Astyanax mexicanus: one gene and its partner. The protein of the gene in region 1 purifies or fractionates together with the protein of each later gene. This does not show direct contact. Links are inferred from orthologs where the notes say so. Each region holds a gene or a part of one and is shown on either strand. Other genes may lie near its edges.

Region 1 (11,345 bases):
GACATTTCATTTTTAAAAAGTGATTCATAACATTTTTACTTGATGTGAAATGTTTCAAAACTGGTGAACAACGCAACAAACTGCAAATCTTTATTTTTAAATCAGATTTTTAGACAACCTACATACTATAAAACACACACTTACACACTTCTCAAAATCCAAGTAAAAGAACGGTTTGCTTGTCGTCCAATCAGAACAGAGGGACCTGAAGACAGTATAACACTGCTATCTAGCAGTCGAGGTAAACTTTTAATTAAAACTGATACAGTTTTGCAAGAAATTGAATGATCAATCAGATATACATCGCAATAGACAATTTTTCGTCCAAATAAGCATTTGGTGATTATTTGATGGCCAGATCATACAATCCATATTTTTTCGAGTTGCTGCAGTCTTGAGCAAAGTCAACAGATGCTCAATTTTTCATTTAACTGCTAAATGACAAAACAGACCTCACTCATGCCGGTAAAAACAAATAAATGACGCTATACCAAGTCAGACATGAAGCATTGCAGAAATCCTGCACAATATTTCATTACCCAAAAGATTGCCTGGAATAGTGAATGTGCTTTCAGCCAATAAAGCTAAAAGATGATAAACATTTGGTATGACCCCAAAAAAAGTGATGAATCCATCTCAAAGTATTGCAAAACTTAATATTGTGTAAATATATTTTTCCACACTGCTAGTACAAATTAGGCCATTGGTTTGAAAAGGAAAGGAATTAAAGAGGGGGGGGGGGGGTCATATTTCCAAACAAACTCCCAAATGTGGTTGTAAAACAACTCTCTTCAGTTTAGGAATGAGAACCTGAGGGCATAGCTGTTTGCCAATTTTTCTGCTTTAGCACACCAACCAAATCTCGCAATTAATGTGCGAGTTGTATCAGGTGTGTCTGAGCAGGAAATGCATAAATTGTACAGGAATTCGACCCTCCAGGACTGAGTTTCCCCATCCCTGCTTTAGTTTATCAGTGTCATGCAGGTCAAAAGAGGCTGCTCAGGCTCTGCTCAGTCTGCTTAGTCAGCAGTTGTAATTCTGAAACTCTGGAGGAGAGATTTCAGTCATCATCTGTGGAAACCACGCTGAGTCAACAGGATTTACACATGAAACGAAAACTCACTAAAGGCAGCCCTGCTTTCAGAGTTTTGGAACTTTCCAAATTATGATTAATTTCATTCACTACGCTAAAACTTAAAATAAAGCTTGCTTACTGTAAGCCATATGATCATTCACCTAATGCACGCTAGCTAGTAGCGACTTTTTGTTGTCCCACATCAAAAACTGGCTTCACCACACAACTCGACTCCATCTTGGAGTGCATCCAGATGTACTGACCACTAAATAAGCATTCTTCCCCTGGGACAGAGCTCTGGATCCTTCCACCCACATATGCATTACAACCGTAAAAAGGACACGATAACATGGCAAACAATGGGTAGAGCTTATTAGAAATAATCAGTGCCATTCATGTAATGTTTGTGGAGCTGTGGCATGACCTACTGGTGATTATAAAATGTTTAGAAGCCAACCCCGTGCAGGTCCATGTCATTAAGTGCAAAAACAGAGACAGACAGCCCCTGTGCCACATTCAGGTTGTCACTCCTGTCTATTTTGGCATCAGTCGATGCTGAACAGGAAGAGCCGTGCGTCATCAGCTCCATCCATGCCTGCCTCTGTCTTTCACTCCTCTGTCACTTGCTTTCTCACACTCACCCACCCAACCCCCGCCCTGATGCTTCCTGGGAGATACCCCCGCCCCACCACTTCCCACCCCCGTGAGAGTCCTGCAGCAGAGCAGAGCCCTCATTCAGTGGAAATGCTTTTAGCAGCTGCCTCAGAGAACGACCGAGCTGCTGGGCTGCCAGTCCCTCCGGGCCCACTGAGCTCCGGACATGTCCAGCCTGAGATGTAATTACTCCCAAACACACACACACACACACACAGAAAAGCAACATCCCAGATAAGGCCCACTGCCTTGCACCTCTCCTGAGATGGCAAAGTGGATGCAGGTCCCTGGAGTGAAGAGAGAGCTTCATTCACAAACTAACTGGCTGGCAGACAGACACTGTAGGGACGAAAGATAACAGCGCAGCTTTGTTTCTCTCCCAGTGAGGTGAGCTGAGGGAGTCTAAGAGATGGTCGATAAGGCTGGGCCTCATTCAAATGAGCTGCAAAAGCAGGAAAGAAAATGACAGAAGAGCTTTGTTCAGGTACAGGACCACTGATCCTTCTTTAAGCCTTCAGAACAGGTTCCTGAACAAGTCGCCAGTAAGCGGAAAGTGCAAAGACAGGCTCATTTACCACATTTTTATTGACCTAGAGCTCAACCCAAAGTACTATAGAAGCATTGAGCATTTTTGGCAGCTCTATTGCATGTGGTGGTGTTTTTCTCCTTTATAACGCACTGTAAATAACAGGCGAGGATTATATAATGGCCATTTCCTGTTTGAGGCCCTCTTTTTTTATGGAAACACTGACCGTTTACTGGTGGGACTAATAGCACAGAGGCATGACTCTCACTTATTTTCACTTTAATCTTGTATTTTTGCTCCTTCTTATTCAGGGAGACACACACTGAGGGTCACAGAACCACAGGTTCCCCTGAAATCTTATATATAAACCTTCAGACTCAAAATTGTTTAAAATAGAACTACATCTCTTAACCCAACAAACTGAACCTCCAGCCTAAACGCAGGGACGTGTCCTTCAGGCTGGAAGATTTTAGTCCGACAGTGAAAACTGAAACTTTCTTTTCTTTTCGTGGAAATATTGTGAAATCTAGCCCTGATTCCTGGTGTTCACCGACCTCTCATGCACCAAACACACACACACAAACAAACGCAGCACATTCTCTCTTAACTCACACAGGGTGAGGTCTGAGCTGTCTTAAAACCTCAAATAGCTAGGTGAGTGGTTTCACTACTGTCAGATGTGTAGAAGTACATGTGTGAAAGTGTGTCACAATAAATATGAAAAATATGTTGATTTATCATATAATACATGGACATGACCTTATTCCTGGTGATTCACATTGCCTTACTAGGAGCATGCTGTTGAGTGTCTATGAACACATTCAACTTAACTTTTCTGAGCTCAATGGATAGGAGAACATAGATTTCAACACTAAGATTAACACTAAGAGCACATTTCAGTACAAAGTGTGTCATTAATTCTGTTTAACTTGATAACATCAAGCACATTTTGAATATAAATTACTGTATTAGTCAGCTGTAGGAAGACCAGGTATTATTCAGCCACTCCATAATATCCGCCACTCCTGTGTAGGTTAACAAGTTAGCTTATTATACCTGCATGTCAGAATGTACTGTAATAAATATTTTGTACTGAGAACATATCTTTAAATATTGTGCTTATGTTAACCCTCTATGGCTTGGTGTTGCCCTCAGTTTTTTGTGATTACACAAACTCTTTAATTTTAATGTTCTTTCTTTTAATATATCACAAGACAAGCCTAACTACATAAATAAAATGCGGGGGAACAATTTGGACATTCTCTCTAGAGGTGGGTTTGGTTTTGGGACGCAATGCTAGTAGTTGAGAAGATGAATATAATGCTTTAACATGTTTAAATTTAAATTAATCTAAGATAAAATGATAAAATATGTTTAAATGCATCAACATGTAAAATGTTTTGAGGTATTAACATTTGTTCATTTATTTGTTTAGATTAAAGTGTTTTTTATTTTTTGCATCAGGACACATTATGCAGTCAGACTTCTTATTAAGCAGTGTTTCATTTGTTCCTTTAGATTAAATAAAAATTCATGCCACAGAGGGTTTATATTTGTACTAGTTTCTATCGCTTAGACCTGTGTTTAACATTAAATAACCTTGGACAGCTAACTAGTTAGGTTAACTAGGCTAGCTAGCTAGTTAAATATTCTGTGACCTTAGAAAATGACAGCTGTAGCAGTTAATGTGTTTCTGCCTCTCGCTATTTTTATTTCCACTTACCTGCTCTTCCTCTGCTGTTAAAGTGGCGGCCATTCTTCCTCTGTGGTATTTAAGTATTTAAGGCACCTTCTCTCTTTTTCTCCTCCTGAGTGGTCCGTCAGTAAGTCCGAGAGGGAAACGACTGACTGTAGATATTAGGAGAAATTAAACCGCGACAGCAGCAGCAGCTCCAGATCTCACTCAGACCTGCTGGACTGAACTAGACCTGGTTACTGAGGGCAGCAGCTACTCAGCCATCGGGTTTGGCGAGACATACAGCCGATTTGAGGTAAACAGAAGAAAAAATACACTACGTTACGCTGGGTAATTAACCTAGACAAATAGCACTTAGTTAGCTAGCTTATAGGTGCCATTATAAGAGCAAGAGACCTGGCATTCTGTCGTAACGAGCTACTTAACAGCTAGTTAGCGTTAGAGCGAAATTCTGCTGGAATTCAGATGCGCAGCAGCAACTTAACGTTAGTCTCGACCTTCCGTGCCATAACGGCACAAAAACGGTAACCAAGCGGTAACCAATCACACCAGCATCCCGACGCTACTCAGCTATAGCTAACGCTGGATTAGCTAGCTAGTTAACTATCTATAAGCAACCCAGGTTACCGTTTGCTGGCGAACCTCTAAAAATCTCCAGCTAGCCTAGCTAATGTTGTGTTAGCCCGACCGAGCGCTCGGCTTCATCTCCCCCTGTTCCCCAGCGGTCAGATACAGTCGACCAGAAGCACGGCGAGCTACAGGCGAGGCCAGGCCGCGTCCCTCCGACTCTGAGGCGGATAAAAGTTACTAACACATCTGGACGCCCCGCGTCGGTTTTCGAGAAGGGTATAGCTGCAGCCTGGAGCACCTCCAAAGGAGAGGAACATACCTCCAAACAGGTGGAGCCTACCTCCAAGTAGGATGGTGCTTGGTGTTAGGCGGTATGGTGTTTTTCACGACGTTTTGTGCTTGTAAATAACCCCAAAAGTTAATTAATTAATCTATTTCGTTTATTAAATGTTTATTTTCTTTTAAAATGCATTTTCTAAGAGTCTAAAAGCATGTTGTGCACATTGCAACCACATTTTATTTATTTAAAAACGTTTAAACATTTGCCATGCTGTGAATTTGTCAAATTATAAAATAGTAAAGATCTAAATAATAAAGGCAGTTGTTTATTCATAGCCAATAATATTATAAATACATACACACTACACGTATATTATTTGACATTTAAGAAATATAAATAATCATTAATTGTTGACTAAAATATTTATTGACATCCATGAGCCTTTTAATCACGGAGGACTTTTTTTGTGGCATTCGGCAGAAAATGAAGCTGTGTTGGGTGAGGTCTCCCTGCCTTGCGATGTAGACTTTAATATAATAATATGATATAATATAATATAATGTGATAGTACAATTTATATAACATTAAATTCTTTGTAATAGAATAATAGTAATAATAATAATCACGGAAGGTGAGAGAGGTCTCGCGCACAAACGCGCTCACAGTCTCGAGCCGGTGGACTTCCCACTTGGAGGTAAGCCCCTCCCCTTTGGAGCTGTGGACCTCCCATTTGGAGGCAAGCCCCTCCTCTTTGGAGGTGCTCCAGTCTGCAGCAATACATATTTGCGGTTTTCAGGCTTTTATCTTTAGTTGGGAAATGGAGCTCAGAAAAAAAGCTCCAGCTTCAAACTCCCCCCTGCCGGACACACGCAGACACTGCAGCCTGGCTCAATCCTCCTCCTCTTCCTCCCTCCTGCTCTCCCTCTCTCTCTCTCTTTCTATCTGCTCCATTCATAAAAATACCACTCCGCCATACTGAGAGAGACTGCAGCTGTAAACACACACACACACACACACTCTCTCTCTCTCTGTCCAAAGTCTGAGTGCAAAAAAGCAATAGGGCGCAGAATGTAAGATAATGTTTTAATGTAAAACTAGATTTAACTCGTCTTAAATTAGCAAAGTGAGAAAAAGAACACCCAGTTCAATAAAAAGGTAAGTTACAGTGAGATGACTCTCTGTGTGGGCGGGTCTGTATGCTTTAGACCAACATGATTGGCAGATCCAGCACCGCCCACCACAGAGCTCCTCCTTACTGCTTTGTTTTCACACTGACAACATCCTGAAAAATCCACACATAAAACTCCTTCAGAAGGACAGACTTAAAAGACACCCCTCTAAAGAGTACCCCTCTACAATAACTGTACATTAATAAACAGTATTATTTTTTAATTGACACTAATAAAGACATTATTAATCATTTAACACTTGAACTTCTTTATTTATTATTATTTACAACATTACAGAATTAACATTTTATAATATTTAATAATGTCTTAACTACTGTCTATTAATAATTAGTCGAGACATTACTAAGCCACTTAACAATGTTTATTCTTGTTGTAAGTACTTTTAATTGATGTACCTTTATTTTAAAGTCTTGCCAAAAACAGTACTCTAAGTAATTAGTGTTCTTTCATTCTCCCATCTTTCTCAATTTGTTTAGTTTGTTGTCAAGCCCTATTTCTTAAAACCCATTAATGTATGGAAATCACAAATAGTACAATGGAGAGAAATGTTTGGTTAGGGTTAGGGTTAGGGTTAGGGTACCACTCAAACAGTACCACTCAAAAGTTTGGACACCTTCTCATTCAATGTATTACATTTTCCCCCCCTATATTGTAAATGAACACTGAAGTCAACCAGACTATGAAGGAGCACATAAGGAATCATGTAGTAACTTAAAAGGGTTAAACAAACCAAAATACTCTAATCACACGTGCTGTTTAATTTGTGGTACCTCTAATGAACTTATCCACCTGGTCTTCATACCTGTCAAGTCTCCCGTTTTGGCCGGGAAACTACCGTATTTTACTCCTCTTTCCCGCTGTCCTCCCGTATTAGTATTTTCCCGTAAATTTCCCGTATTTTATTAAAATAAAAAAATATATATTATTGAGGATACAGGGCACTGACCGCTCTGTGTCTCTTAACCAATCGTGGAGCCGGTTCAAGGAAAAAGTCCCGCCTTTCAGGAAAAACAGCCAATCAGCTTGCAAGGAGGGTCAGTGTGGGGAAGCCCCGCCCTCCTCGCTGTGAGTTCAGGCAGCTTTTTTCTAAAAGAAAGGTAACGGTAGTCTAATCATGGAAACTGTGATGAGATTTTTCTGATAGCTGCTTAAAAATACTCCGAAATAAAACACACAGATTAAACCTTTTAAAATAAAAAAAATTACAGCTTGTGACTCAGTTTAACTAGAAATGTGGAGAGGACCGACATTAACTGAACTGATCAGGGGTGGAGTGATCAAAAGGAAGAAGTATTAATTAAAAATTATTGCGTAGGCCCCTTAGGACTAATTTTTACTGATGGAATATATCTGGTCCATGTCCTTTTAGTAAAAGCTCATAATACCATTTTTAGGTCACCAACAGTCATTTTGCAGAATTTGTGCACTCTTTGTTCAATTTTAAATCCATTAAATAAATAAAAAATATATCATATAAAAGAGTGCATTTATTACAAAAAAGACATGAAATCTTAAATAAAAAAAATATATAGAAAAGGGTTTTTAATTTGGCTGTATTAAAAGAATGACATATGTAGGAATGTCCACAACATGTTCAGATTCTGATAATCTAATTGTAGTGTAAGTGTTTCACATGTGGTTATTTTAGATTTTTTGTAAACCTGTTTTAACATGTAAGGGATACTGAACCTTCGTTGGGCTGGTGGGACGGCTTTAAGCGGACAGAGGAAAATATCCCTTATTTTTAAATCTAAAACTTGACAGGTATGCCTGGTCTTTTTGATGAGAGTCCTGATGAATGGTCTTTGTGATTATCCTTAATTTCTTAACATTACCCACACAGGGCTATTTACTGTATACCAACTCTACCTCTTCACAACACAACTCTCAAACACATTAAGAGGACAAGAAATTCAAGTAATTAACAAGATGTGCAAAACTGTCATCGAAGCAAGAGGTGCCTATGTTAAATCATCTGAAATATAAATAACATTCTGGTTTGTTTAACACTTGTTTACTAAATAAGTCCATGTATTTTCTTCATAGTTTGGAGGACTTTAATGTTAATCTACAATGGAGAACATTTTTAAATGACTAAAAACACAAAAGGTGTAAACACACTGAATACTCATTTAACCTCATTAAGGTGCTACCTAGAACCACCACCTGACATCAGACACATAAATGTTTTTAAGGCAGCATAAACCGATTTAGTTCTGATGTAAATACTTTCCAAACTGGCCAAACAGTTTATCAATGGTGGGATACAAAAATAATAATATACATTGTAATAGTAACATAAAAAAGTCATAGGCTCCAGATATGGGCCACGTTATAACAGTTTAAACACATCTCTATTTCTGAGACACATTCATCAACCCAAATTTCTCCAAGTACAACAGAAACACCAGTTATACTGTAATCGCTGTGCAATGAATAGATTTGCATATTCCATAACCGGCAGCAATCAGATTTCAGTCGGCCTGACTGAAGATGCATTTGACTACCAAATGGAAATACATGTGAATCAAATCCTATCAGAATCTATTTGGATACTAGTCACATGAAGGAGCCACATGTAAATGGGGTATTAGTGTTCTCCCCCAACTGTGTTGAGGTGTCGAATGACCGCAGTTCAAAAACATGTTGCTATTTGGTGGTCCAGTCTAGTCAGTACCTACTGGCAATCACTGAGGTCAAGGCAGGAATGTACCCTATCGAGTGGGTAGGTCTACTCCAGTTCATTGCAGGGTACCACACACACATTTACTTACTCACACCTCAGGGGTATTTTAGCATAGCCAACTCAACTACCATGTGTTTTGGGAATATGGAAGGAAACTAAAGTACATGGAGGAATCCCACAAGGACACTGGAAAAAACAAACCCCTCACAGTCTGTTTTTTTTTTTTTTTTTTTTTTTTTTTACTGTATAACAGGTTATGCACTGTCAAAAAATCTAGATTTTTTTTATCAGGCAGTAAGCCAGGCATTAGCTGGGAGGGAGCATTAAAATAAACATAAATATTATGAAAGTGATTTTATCATCCTCCTACCTTCAGTCAACTAATGGGGTCAGCAGGCACTTCACCTTATCCTCCTTCTCTTCCTCCTCCTCCCTATTTCACATAATACAGGCACAGACAGTGCTATTCAGAGCTTTCTGAGAAGACAGGTGCTGAGGGTTCCTGGAATGCAACGCATGACCTATACCTTTCATTTCTCTTAAACCACACAGCTGTCAGATGTTCTGCTGTTAATTATATGTACTAAAACCCACTGTAAGTGAGAAGAAGCCCTTTGTTATTTGTGTACCATCATTTCCTTTTCACTCACTGGTTTAGTGCTATTGGTCATGACATTAAAGAAAACAGGACGATAAAAATCTGTTTTTCCTTGTGTTTGCCATGTTTAGCAAACAAGATGTACTATAGTAGGAGAGTATACTAGGAGAGTAACACAATTTCAATTCTCTGTATGTCCTGTACATATGCGGTATTGACAATAAAACTACTTGACTATAATTAGAACCCAAGGAAACAATATAAAGTATCACCAGCCAAGGAATTTTATTAGTCCTATGTGAAAGATGTGACCAATAAACTAAATGTATTTAATAATCAGGATCAGTTACTAGATTTAGTATACTAAAAACAAAGGTGTCAAAAGTATTTACACTCATTACTTAGGTAGAATTAAAAATAAAAGAGCTTAAAAATACTTCTGTAGAACTTGAAGTATCAACTCAAGCTTTTTACTCAGGTACAAGTGTAAAGGTTCTGCTTTCAAAACTACTTAAAGTATAAAAAGTAAAAAAAAAATGTTATGTTAATGTTATATTAAAATGTTGATGTTGAAAATTGGTAATGCACTAGGCTCCCTGTTTCAGCTGCATATATGCCCATTGAAGATGAATGCATTTTAGTACAATGTAAATATATTAAAGAAGCTTAGTTGGGACATTTCTCTTGAGTCTCTGGTATTGCTCATCTTCATACTAGACTACATACGTCGGCTATGTTCTTGTAGAAGTGTGGGCGTGACATGGTGTCGGAATGGTATATGTTTATATTTTTCAACCAACCAAAATCAGATTTGGATCTGGATGGAGAGATTTATCTGGATAGTTTTTATTTTTTTGTACAATGAGAAGCCAGAATGAAAATGTGCAGATATGAAATGGGAGTAATGGGAGGCTGTTTATAAAATGTAAGGAGTAGACAGTTCAGATAATTGTGTGAAAATGTAAGGAGTACAATTAAAAAGTTGGCTTAAAAAAGGACTCCAATGAAGTATAAATAACCAAAATGTCTACTTATGTAAGATAATGAAGTATTTGTACTTACTTACTTACTGGACACCTGCTAAAGACATAAAGGCTAATTTACTGCCAGTCACACTCATTATAAACATCACTTTAAAATAAACATTTAAAACAAGCATCATACTATGCCACAATTAAAAGATTAAGAAGAAAAGTACATGTTGGAAATACACTGACATGCCAAAAATCATGGGATAGTTTAAGCAGTTTGTAAATTGCTCAAAGTGTTACCTAAGGTATTGGTTTGGACATGCTCACTCCTGTATAAGTTAAGTGTGTGTGTGTTCAGACACCATTGAGCCTGCCTATGATAAGGCAATGTGAATAACCAGGAATAATTATTCAAGGCATTACCACCCACAGTGATCTGTGCAGTGGGTGGTAATGGTCGTGAAAGGTGGCATCTGGCGAGAACGTCCATGTGAAGAGACAGCGTAACTCTGGCAGAAATTACATCCAAATTTAATGCAGGAGTTTCCCCGGTGTTTCTTGGCTTTCATGGAATATTACAAAAGTCATGGGACAAGATTCTAGTTCCTGTTCCAAAAAAGGGTTATAACATCTTTAAGAGCCATAATCAGTGTTCTCAAGTCTCAGTCACACGCACCTCAGCAAGTACATACGCTCACAGGGCACACATGGTATTTCTCACCATCCATCGGCTGTTTATTATAATGTACTCTCGTTGAGCCAATCAGAATATAGATCGCTCTGTTGTTAGGCAGACCTAGTCAAAGAGGGTGGAGTTTCAGCCAGAGTGTCAGGTGCGAAGAACTGTCCCCCTCCCCCTTGGTACAACTGAAGACGAACTGCACGCACTCACCACTTGTAAGGCTTGTATATTCTGTGGCTAAATCTGAAAATCTGAAAACATAAATTGATAGAATAAATTAATGTTTTGGGTTGTGCTATCATTGACAACAATTCACTCTTTCTTGTTAAGTCAAAAACAATTTATCCTATAGTGATAGGCACCTATAGGGCGCCACATCATGTTTAACCTACTGGATTGGCATTTCTTTATCAGAGA
Region 2 (12,320 bases), on another chromosome or scaffold:
AAAGACCAGGCAGTTTGCTTTTGCTGTTTTTTTTCCGCAGCTATAGCTGCACAGCTGCACCAAGAGATGTGTTGGTTGGCAAGAGAGAAGCACGTACTGCAGCGTAAAAGCAAAAAGATGCATGAATTCAGATTTGACCATTCACATTCATGTGGCATGTCCATTGATCAGACACATCTCAGATTTAGGACCACATATAAAAGTGACTCAAATCTGATTTGAAAAAACTCAGATTTGGCACGTTCACACAGCCATGAAAAAAAATCAGATCAGAGCCACATTGAGCAAAAAAAATCAGATTTGAGTCAATGTTAATGTGAATGTAGCCTGATATCTCGTAGTAATTAACACCTTCAGGATTACAGCATTCAGGGCAATTAGACTCCTCATCTGTAGGAGGAGCCCAAAAGAAAAAACACCAATTTTCTCTTAAAGCTGCTTCAACAATACTAATAATGACTACTACAGCTACTACTATATTAATAAAAAGAATCATAGATTAGCTATAGTAATATAGTAATTTATATAAAGCTATAGTCTTCATTTTTTAACAGAAATAAATGTATAAATAAATTATATATGGTTACATTCTTTTTTTTGTAAGCTATATATCTTTACAATACCTAACAATAAGTTATGTATTCTTGAATCAGCACTAAAACCTGCCTAAATCTCAAACACTATGAGCCCCAGAAAAAAAGTGAATGTACAGTATTCTTGATTGCAGGACACTTCAATTCAATATCATATGATCTAAACAGGTTATAGAGTTAGTCAAAATTTTAAAAAGAACCCTCAAAAGCCTTACTTACCTCTTCCCAACAAGCCTGCTCCCGATCCTGAAGCCCAATGGTCCACATGTCATTCAGTCTGTGGAGAGAAAACTAAATCTGATATACGTATTCACAGCATTTATAGCACTAAATGTTATATTTATTAAAAAACACCTGTTTAACATCATCATAGATCAATAAACACATTTAGCATTTTTAAATAACATTGTGAATTAAAGTAGTTCTTATGAACTTACCTTGCATTTCCATCATAACCAGCAAAAATCCACAGCTTGTCGTTATAGACTGTGGCACCATGAGCAGACCTGGCTACTAATCTGAAACACACATAAATCACATAAAGTGTAGATAAACAGCATCTTCAAGACTACAGTAGATTTTACATGCAGACCAGATATCCACACTATCATATTGTCCTACCTCCCCTCCACCTTCCACTCTGTCCACTGGCCAGTAGCAAACTTGTACTCAAACAGATCATTTTTGTTCTTCAGGTTGGAGTTTGAGTAGATATCTCCCGTGTATCCACCTGAAACATTCAAAGACAGTGATTAATGTATAATACAAAGCCTACAATTAAACTATATATAATTAGAATATACATATTTGCCCAGGGCAAGCTCACCAGTGTATATTAAATCAGTAGAGCTGGCAAATACGGTAAAAAATATTATATCACAATATTTGAAGACATTTTGTAGACATGTTGACACAGCAAAACGAATCACTATCACAATGTGGTTAAACAGGACTAAATGCATGAAACGCATAACTTTTTGTTTTTGTGGACAATATATGCAGTCCCAGAAATAATCCTGATAAATTTTGTCATTTTAAAACCATTTTATGCCACTGATACATACAGTCCCATAACAATGGAATTAACTTTTGATGATTAAGAACATTCAGACTTTAAAATTGGAATATGACAAACATAAGCTAAAAAAATAAGTAAGAATTTTAACAAAGTAACAATTGCCCTACGAAATTGCTCTACTAAAAAGAATAGTCCTAACAAAATATTTGCTTAAACATTGTTGCTATTCATTATAATGTCCAATTTTTGTGTTCATCAAAAACAAATATTAGCAAAAATAAAGCACACATTGTGAAATATTCATTCACTGTGAAAAAATAAAAACAAACACAAAATCATAACATTCTTTAACAGTTGGTCTCTAGCACAACCTGCTGGACAAAATAAAGTGTGTCTCACATGTTATGCCAATTCATTCTGCCTAAAGTCCTGAACTGACAATGTATCTATATCTTGAAACTGATTATGTACCTGTGCACTTTACGAACCTTTGAAAATTAGATTGAAAAAGCTCCTTATCTGGGCAAAAAGAGACTATTTACTCAGAAGAACACTAATATTAAAATAAATACATTAGTAATATTTTTCATAAGAAAAAGTAGGGTTTTTTACATCACGGTGCTTATTAAAACATCTTCAAAGCTCTCCTCAAGGAGTTCAGTGTTATTTATAGTCCTCATCATATCAACAGTTGGTTTGGTAAATCAGTGATTAAGGATGTTAAATCAGGTGAGCTGCTAATGTAACTGAACACATCCACCCTCTATCCGGGAGCGTCCTTCATATTTCTGAGATTAATTTTAAAACATGCACTCAGTACCAGTACTAAAATATGTATGTATGCATATTATATATATATATATATATATTATAATAACAATAATAATAAAAAATACACATACCAAACACAAACATGCTGCTCCCATACACGACTGCAGAGTGATGATATCTGGGTGCTGGTGGAGTGCCAGTGGTAAAGGCCCTGTTCAATTAAAATACATGAATAATATGATTTTAAAAAGCATTGCATTTGTAAAAAAATAAATAATAATAAAAACAAATAATAATCCTTTAAAATTCAATTTACCCACCGACACCATGAGCAGTCCTTCACATCAAAGCGCAGCAGATCATTAAGCATGTTTTTCCTGCAACAATATCATTAGTGAGACTTTCAATAGCTGGTTAATTTATTGACGTATATTATGTTTCACACCAGCATCCAATTTCTTACCCATTGTCTCCTCCAAACACGTAGATGGCATCCCTGTACGCCACCACTGTGTGCTTGCTGCGTCTGTAAGGGGACAAAGATAAATCAATAACTTAACGATGACCAAATACTGACAATACCACAATTTTTTGAATAAATTGATTTAGTAAACATACAACTCTTTGGGGTTCAAAAAGTTATGCTATTTACATATTTAACTCTTTGAACCCAAAAAAGCAGTATGTTTAGTGAATCATTTGTTGCAGTTACCCTAAAATTGATAGTAGTTAGTGGACGACTTGTAGTAGTTACTAAATCATTTCAGCTTGTCAATTTACATTAGTACTCAATTATTCACAGTAGCTTCCACATAAGTGGCTACGGAATTATTTACAGTAGTTTACTCAATTAAAAAAAATAGTTTAATAGTTTGCACTTTCAAAGATCTCAGTGTGTCGTTTTAAACGTCCGGGGCCTCAGAATTCTACCAATAAAGTGTGAAGCTACTTTGAGCTTGTTACTGGTGTAAAAAGTGATTTCTTTGCATGGGCAGCACTATGCCCCTATCACTAGCATTGTAAGCCTGTTAGTTGGGAGTATCAGCTAAAAGCACTGTATTTCTGAATGCTGGAGGTGAATGGAGGTGGGCTATTCAACAAAGGCTTGTACTCATGTTTGTTATCATGTTTTACTACACCCTAAGTTCATTTTCAGTTTTCTCAGCCCCGTCCCAACTTGAGTAGTGGGTTCTGATTGGACAGCGATTACATTTCATTTTGACACTCACTCCACGATGCTCCTAGACGAAATGCAATCCTGTGCAGTGTGATTTGCTTTTGAACATTCACAGCACTGCACAGTGGAATACAATGCAGTTAAGATGATTTTGTTGAGATGCATTTCAAGTGCAATTCTGATACGAATTAAGCGTTTGGTTTTGAAAATGTAAATTCTTGTGTACTGTTTTTTTAATGATAATAAAAAAGTGCAGGAAAATGTAATGCAATAGTGGTTTTGCATTTCATTCTGGCATGTATTCAGCATGTTAGTGAAGAAAAGCAATGCATCTTGTGGATTGCATTTACATTTTTTTACGGTAGCGTTTGGTTTTCAATTAGGCACCAATTTCTCTCTATTCATAGGTAGCTACAGCTCTGGAGAAAAATAAGAGACCACTTAAAAATTATGAGTTTCTTTGATTTTACCAAATCCAAAACCCCTGGAATATAATCAAGAGGAAGATGGATGATCACAAGCCATCAAACCAAGCTGAACTGCTTGAATTATTGCACCAGGAGTGACATGAAGTTATCCAAAAGCAGTGTGTAAGACTGGTGGAGGAGAACATGCCAAGATGTGTGAAAATTGTGAAAACCAGGGTTATTCCACCAAATATTGATTTCTGAATTCTTAAAACTTTATGAATATGAACTTGTTTTCTTTGCATTGTTTGAGGTCTAAAAGCTCTGCATCATTTTTGTTATTCCAACAATTTGTTCATTAATTTTCTGCAAATAAATGCTCTATATGACAATATTTTTATTTAGAATTTGGGAGAAATGTTGTCTGTAGTTTATAGAATAAAATAACAATGTTCATTTTACTCAAACACCAGAGAAACTGATTCAGAAACTGAAGTAGTCTCTTAATTTTTTCCAGAGCTGTATTTATACTGAAACCTCTGTATTTTGGGGGTCCAGCCCTGGTGCTTACCTTGCCCCAACAAACTCGTCGCAGGGTGGGAGTCGCCTCCAGCGATGGACGGTCTCGAAGGGACCGAAGTTGAGTGTCAGATACTCAACACTGTCCGAGCAGCTGTGGTCGAAGTCCACACTCGGGGCCACTTTGGACTTACAAGACATGGCTCCAGGAAACCATGACATTCAGCTGGAGCTCTACCCGGCGCTGTGTGACCGCCACGGGGGGAGAAATCAGACAGCTCGGCCTGGAGAAGGAGGGGGGCGGGTTTCTGACTAAAACAAACCACCAGAGCTAGCAGACAGTGCGGAGCTTTAAACTCAGAAGCTCATAGTAGCCTAATATCCTCCATATTCAGCATATTTACCATTATTATATTTATATAAACCTGTTTAACTAGCTAATAATAAACGCAGCAGCAGCAGCAGAGTTTGACAGACTCTCAGCCTTCCATTCTGCTAAGCTAACGTTGCTAAGCTAAGGCTGGCTAACTATCCAACCTAAAAACCAACCCCTAAAAATCAGGTTTTCTTTAAGGCCCCTCCTCTCAGATATTATCTAAAGCTCACTTTATGTAACAGGCAAATTTTAAAAGCTGCTGCTTTAGAAAGATAAAGAGCATAACTGATATTTTAAGCCAAACAACCAGTTAGTTAGCTAAGCTAGGCTAGCTGTTGCTACTTTCCTCATCGCTCCTATGGGCGGAGTCTCCCCAGCAGTTGCCATGCGTGATTTTCTCGATTCTGATTGGTGGATTCTCTCACTTACTCGCTCATTCATGTTTTTACTTTGTATTATTTATTATATGTTTTTATAAGCATTTTTCAATATCATGAACGGTTTTATACCATGAAATATCGTGCAATATCACCCAGCACTAATTATCACATCAGGGTACTGCTTTTTTGCTGTTTTTAGCAAAATAAAAATTCACACTCTTCTCATTTCCCATTATATATCTACCAGAGAAAGATTATATCTGTCCATTATCATTTATTCGACTTTATTTTAGGATATATGGAGATATTTGGAGTGCATTATTATTAGTATCATGACATTTTGGATCACTAACTTTTGTTAAAAATCTGTTAAAAAGTCTTGTATTTTTTAAAATCTCAGTTAGGGGTGTGCCATATCATATCGTATACAATAATAAAATGTAAGCTTCATTTTGCTGCAGTAGTGTATTCTTAAGATAATTTTATTTCACACACGCATACAAACACATATATAGTACCTAACCCTATCTAAACAGTATTTTTCAGTATTTTCACATTTCAGTTCTCATAAATAATGCATTTATTTAACAGGATTTTAATAAATGAATGGGATGATTAATATGTGTTACTAAAGTATTCTTTAATACAGTTATTTAGGACAATTGCAATTTATATCACTATTGCCTGTATATTAGAAGGTTAGAACAAGGAATTGAATAAGCAGAAAAATAAAAGGTAAACATAATAAACAAATAAGTGAAATTTAAAGAATCCTCAACATTAATATTAAAGATAAATAATATTATAATATATTATAATATAATATTAGCAAAGTCATCGTAATAAAAACACGGAGGGGGGTACGTAATAACGCTATAGTTTATTTCCACTTTAAACACTGAAAAAAAAAAACATTTAAACAGGTTTAGATACAGTCATTTATTCCATTTCCGCCACCTGAAGAAAAAAAAAACGTCCTCAACTAAGTCATAATTATGAGATAGTAAGTCATAATTATGAGATAAAAAAGTCATAATTATTAGATAGTAAGTCATAATTATGAGATAGAAAGTCATAATTATGAGATAGTAAGTCATAATTATGAGATAGTAAGTCATAATTATGAGATAGAAAGTCATAATTATGAGATAGAAAGTCATAATTATGAGATAAAAAGTCATCTCATAATTATGACTTTCTATCTCATAATTATGACTTTCTATCTCATAATTATGACTTAGTATCTCATAATTATGACTTTCTATCTCATAATTATGACTTAGTATCTCATAATTATGACTTTTTTATCTCATAATTATGACTTACTATCTCACAATTATGACTTAGTATCTCATAATTATGACTTACTATCTCATAATTATGACTTACTATCCCATAATTATGACTTTTCTATCTCATAATTATGACTTAGTTGAGGACGTTTTTTTTCTTCAGGTGGCGGAAATGGGCTTCCATAGTCATTAGTTCAGGAGCAATGCTTTTTTTTTTTTTTTTTTAGCAAAAAAATGATTTCTAAAATGCACCAAGGACCAATCCCAAATAGCAACAATGCTCCATATATACTGCATATAAGTTCACTACTTAGTTGAGTGCAGCAGCTGTCAATTTCTAGTGCCCTACATAGGGTGTATAGCCATTTGGGACGCGATCCAGGAGCTTCCATGTGCCAATCTGTGCCCCGATTGGTCAACAGGCATCAAGGGGCGGAGCCGTGCGCGCGGAAGCTGATGGGCTCTCGCGGCAAGTAGGGCAAAAACCCGCCAAACTCAGACTGGGGAAAACAGTAAAAATAGCCGCGAATATTAGAGAAAAATTTCAAGAAACTCTATTTTATATGCGCTTTAACGCCAACCGGCACACTCTACTTGTTACGGAGATGTGATATATAGTTGTGTTGGCTGAGAAAATAGAGAGAATTGAATGTAAATCGCTTATATATGTTTGTAAGTAGTTACGATAGCTAGCTGTGCTAGCGCTGGATGACAAGAGTAGTGGTTAGTTAGCTAGCGGGGGTTTAGCTTAACTAGCTTAGCTAGCTAGCTAACCTTTCCAGACACCTTAAGCTCTATAGAGCCTCTGTACTCAGATTGTTTACTAGTTAACTTACTAGCCAGCGGTTAGTAGCTTAATTCAGGATGGTTCTACAGAACAGTGGAAGATTCAGAGTAGACCGGGATGGAGGAGACCAAGACAACCAGCAGTAAGTTCTCACAACACTGACAACTAACAGCAGCAGTAGGAGGAGGAGTAACCAGAATATAACCTGAGAATGGAAAGAAATATCAGGCCTAAAATGTTGCTGAGTGTATAAAACAAAGCTGCAGTAAATATATTTAACGTGTGTTTGGTGTTATCTTCTATTTTAGGGGATAATTACAGTCTGATTTTAAAATGTAAAGCTTAAAGTGAGAGCTACCTTGGTTTTAAACTAGGTTAGGTAGGTTAAGTATTGTCACTAATTAAATATCTGGTATGGAGACATATGTAAAATCACTAAGACGTTGCTGAGTGCAGAACAGAACTGCTGTGAAACTTATTAGATAATGTGTGTTTAGATTAATCTTTTTTTTGGGTTAATTATTGTCTGATATTAAATCCAAAAGCTTAAATGTAGAGTGTAAGTTCTGATATTAAATCAGCAGAGCTGGGTGTTCATAATAAATATGTGTGTTCTGTATAGTAGAGGTGGGCAATATTATATCGTGACACAGAAATATCATGATATTAAAAATCCATATTGTGATAATAGGCCTTGTTTTGTTTTAAAAGTAGTCTATTATTTACTGTGAAGCTTTAGGTGTATTTATTGTATAATTGTTTGTTTGCAGTTTATATGCATGCACTAAATATTCTGCAATATTATTTGTTGCATTATATTATTTTATGCTATATTATTTATTTTCCCACATTATGATTATTATGTTATTCTATTATACTATATTCCTGAAATGAATGAATTATTTTAGTTTTCCTATATCGCCAAGTACATCGTTATCGCAAACAATACCCTGAAATATCGTGATATTATTTTAGAGCCATATCGCCCACCTCTACTGAATAGTCAATATTTTAACACTGTATAATCGTGAAACCTGGATATTGTGCCTAAAGAGGATCTAGATTTGGTAATGAGACCCATTAAAAATTTTCCCTCATTCATTTTGTCTTATTATATGTGCATGATGCAGCATATTGATTGTGATTTTGTATCCAAAGATATGTGGTGGGTTTTGATATATACTTTTTTTTAAGCTATGATTAATTACAAAAAAAATATTCTATGATATTGTATATCGCAATAATAAATTGTTATTGTGAAAGGTCTGTATATTTTACTTGTATTTTAGTAATTCAGACACGTTAAAATAAATTTCAAAACATAAAGTCACTCAAGACATCCAAGGCAAAAAGAAAAATATGACAGAACTTGACCAAAGGAAGATACACTACAAGTAACACTGATGCTCTTTTATACCTGATACTCTGATTTGACACTGATAAAGCGAGTTGCTGTTGTTCCCAGCCGCTTCCACTGTGTTATAATATCACTACAGCTACTGTTTATTAAAAATGTGCTAATGTAATGAATTGTTTTGCCTAAAGGGATGATGGACCCGGCATGTCTGCCGTCAAGCGGCTTGAACGAAGTCAGTTTACTGATGGAATGGACACACGCTTCGGATTTGAGCGAATGAAGGAGCCTGGAGAAAAAACTGGATGGCTGATCAACATGCATCCGGTACGTGGTCAAAAGGGTCATATACACAATAATAATAATAATAATACTCTGTTAAATGTCTGTTCATTTAATACAAATTAAGAATGTATAAGAAATAATTAACCCAAATTCATGAAAACATCATAACACTAAGCACCTAATAAAGCAATCTGTAGAGTTTTCACTGCTCTCAGTAACTCCTGTGATATCTCACTTCTGCCAGACGGAGATTTTGGATGATGACAAGAGGATGATCAGTGCTGTGGATTATTACTTCATTCAGGAAGATGGCAGCAGATTCAAGGTTAGGAATAATGTTACTAAATCAGCAGTTGATGGTTTGGTTAATTTGTTTCCCTCTCTATTTCATCCTTTAACATTCACTGTTTATTTTTGTAGGTGGCTTTACCCTTTAAGCCATACTTCTACATAGCCACTAAAAAGGTAAGAATAAAAATGTATCTACAAACATTTAGTACAACATATAAAGTAGGGTTTTTCCAATGTGACCTCTTTATTTTCTGTAAATTCTGTAGAACTGTGAGAGAGAAGTCGTCTCCTACTTGTCAAAGAAGTACCAAGGAAAGGTGGCAAAACTGGAGATTGTGCCCAAAGAGGATCTAGATCTGGTAATGAGACACATTACATTTTTACATAATTTATTTAGCCTTTTTTAATTTTTATGACACAGCATGTTAATTGTAATACTGTGTGCAAAGATATGTGATGGCTTTTATTGGGTTTTATTAAACTTTTTTTTATTCAGTAAGAACAGTGGCATCTTAAGAATTAAGCACTGATGTCTAGAGGCTGACAGCAATCTTTGCATGTGAACTATTCTTTAAAAATATTGCTGTTTTTTAAGAAACGATACAGTATTACAAAATATTTTTGTGATTCTCGAGGATATTGATATTTTCTTACACCCATCATTGTAACTCTGTTGCATATCAGATTGTCTGTCAGTCTTTCAAACCTTTTATGTGCTTATAAATTCAGAAATTTCTCTCTATTTATATTATGTTACTTTCATTTTAGTATTGTTTTAATATGCTGTTGTTTATTCCAGCCGAACCACCTGGTGGGTCTGAAGAGGAACTACATCAAACTGTCCTTTAACACAGTGGACGACCTAATCAAAGTGAAGCGAGAGATTTCACCTGCCGTTAGAAAAAACAGGGAGAGAGAGAAATCTAATGATGCCTACACCAGCATGCTGTGCAGGTATTTTTCATACATCCCAATTTAGAAATTACACATAATAATTGCCATTCTCTTTGATTATTATGGTTTTATATGAAACTCATTACAGTTTTATGTTATTTTCATGCAAATGTAACCTGAATTGAAACAATATGATTACACAAATTGCACAATATTTAATCAGAATGTTCTGATTATATAAGATGTTCACCTTTGGTGATTTGTGTTGTAGTGTACTCGCAGGTGGGAATGTGATGACAGCTGATGAAGATGGTACATCAAAGAAAATGTCTGACCAGCTAGACAACATTGTGGATATGAGGGAGTATGATGTACCTTACCATGTAAGGCTGTCCATTGACCTCAAGATCCATGTGGTAAGAACACACTCCACAGATTCATAATTAAGAATTATGTTGTATAGAACACATTTGCATGTGTGGTCTCATCCCATCCATGTTTTGCACTGTGCTACGAAGTTTTCTAGTGGAGCTAGGTGTTAATATTGTGCTGACAGGTTTAAATTAGTTAACTTTGTCTCCAGTATTTAGATTTGATGTTGATTTAAACTAACCTTGTTTGATTTCAGGCTCACTGGTATAACGTGCGGTACAGAGGCAGTGCATACCCTCCTGAGATTGTGCGTAGGGATGATCTTGTTGAAAGACCTGTAAGTACTAGTATCACTACTACAGTACTGTACCCATTACGAAATAAAGTTACAGGTATTTCTGTAAGGTGGCAGTTTTGATTTTTAAAAGTAAAATATTCTATTCAATATATTGAGCTTATGTGTAATAGTCAGAGTAGTCCGCTTAAAACACAAAATTCATCGAATGCAGTTTATGTATTGATTGTATAGCTTCTCTTTTACAGGATCCTGTTGTATTGGCATTTGATATTGAGACCACAAAGCTCCCTCTTAAGTTCCCTGATGCAGAAACAGACCAGATTATGATGATCTCCTATATGATTGATGGGCAGGTAAGTGATCTTCACTAAGTGTTGTGTAGGGCTCTTAAGTTGATCCGAGAACTAAGGCAGATCATAAAGAAGTCTTTGTGGTCATTGAGATGGGGGGATTCATATGAAAGGAGATTAAGGGGGGAAAAAAAAAGAATGAATTTAGAAATACGTTTTTTTTATAGGGGTGTCACAATTTCGATATTTTATTGAAATCGATCGAAATTATGTCATGGTCTCGAGCCTCGCAAATGGCGCAGCATGCTAGGCAAATGGCGCAGCATGCTAGGCAAATGGCGCAGCATGCTAGGCAAATGGCGCAGCATGCTAGGCAAATGGCGCAGCATGCTAGGCAAATGGCGCAGCATGCTAGGCAAATGGCGCAGCATGCTAGGCAAATGGCGCAGCGCAGACATTGTGAATGCTCAAAGAGCAGCCCTTTCTCCAGAGAATGTGGACATTCTCATCTTCTTAAAGAAAAAACTATATAAAATATAAAAAGAACAATTATTTTGTCTAGCTTCAAATATGTTAATAGTTTCGGTACCTTAAGGAGCATCTTTCTCTCAGATAAAGTTAATAATATATCTTTATTAAAGAAAAAAACATGTAATTCTCAGGGAGTCTTATTTTTCATGTTTAACTGTTATTATATAACTGTTAATAGTAGGATAGAGTTCAGTTTGTTAAGTCTCTAATTGTTCTATTATTTTTTACATGACTGTTCCTGTATTTTTTTTATTATTTATTTTGTTATGTTGCACATTGCTGTTTTAATAACGCACACTGCTGCTCCCAAAAAAGCCACTAGATGGCATTACATATATATCTTAATTAAATTATTTAAATTTGACCATTAGAGCCTAATGTGGTGTATTACAGATCACTCAATGTGGTGTATTACAGATCACTTGTATCACTTTGCATCACTTATATCAAGCCCACCTTTTGAAATAAGATATTGTAAATTTGATGAATCAAACCAATGACTGACCAAAGACTAATCTAAAACTGGCATAGTCCTCTCTGCTGTAAACAAAAGAAAATCGAGAATCGAATCGAATCGGGATCCTAAAATCGGAAATAAAATCGAATCAAGGATTTGGAGAATCATGACACCCCTAGTTTTTTAATGTTAAACCTTCCCTTAAAGGAAATCTTCGCACTGAATTAA

Evidence for each region.
Region 2: the proteins of ptpn9a (region 1) and lztr1 purify together in Homo sapiens (affinity purification with mass spectrometry; 3 studies listed by BioGRID and IntAct, with this or other methods). This does not show direct contact. The link is inferred for Astyanax mexicanus from reciprocal best matches to the Homo sapiens genes PTPN9 and LZTR1.

What each region holds. Positions count from the first base shown.
Region 1 is NC_064409.1:42,589,878-42,601,222, forward strand, and holds the start of ptpn9a (tyrosine-protein phosphatase non-receptor type 9), read right to left. Parts: upstream 4,808-11,345; 5' UTR 4,012-4,807; coding exon 3,979-4,011; intron 1-3,978. UniProt on the Homo sapiens protein: Protein-tyrosine phosphatase that could participate in the transfer of hydrophobic ligands or in functions of the Golgi apparatus.
Region 2 is NC_064429.1:31,312,142-31,324,461, reverse strand, and holds the start of lztr1 (leucine-zipper-like transcriptional regulator 1), read right to left. Parts: upstream 5,248-12,320; 5' UTR 4,708-5,247; coding exon 4,538-4,707; intron 2,909-4,537; coding exon 2,846-2,908; intron 2,760-2,845; coding exon 2,703-2,759; intron 2,594-2,702; coding exon 2,514-2,593; intron 1,324-2,513; coding exon 1,215-1,323; intron 1,112-1,214; coding exon 1,031-1,111; intron 871-1,030; coding exon 813-870; intron 1-812. Other genes in the region: pole (DNA polymerase epsilon catalytic subunit A), read left to right, coding at 7,398-7,462, 8,866-9,001, 9,204-9,284, 9,380-9,424, 9,517-9,609, 10,050-10,204, 10,416-10,560, 10,773-10,853 and 1 more. UniProt on the Homo sapiens protein: Substrate-specific adapter of a BCR (BTB-CUL3-RBX1) E3 ubiquitin-protein ligase complex that mediates ubiquitination of Ras (K-Ras/KRAS, N-Ras/NRAS and H-Ras/HRAS).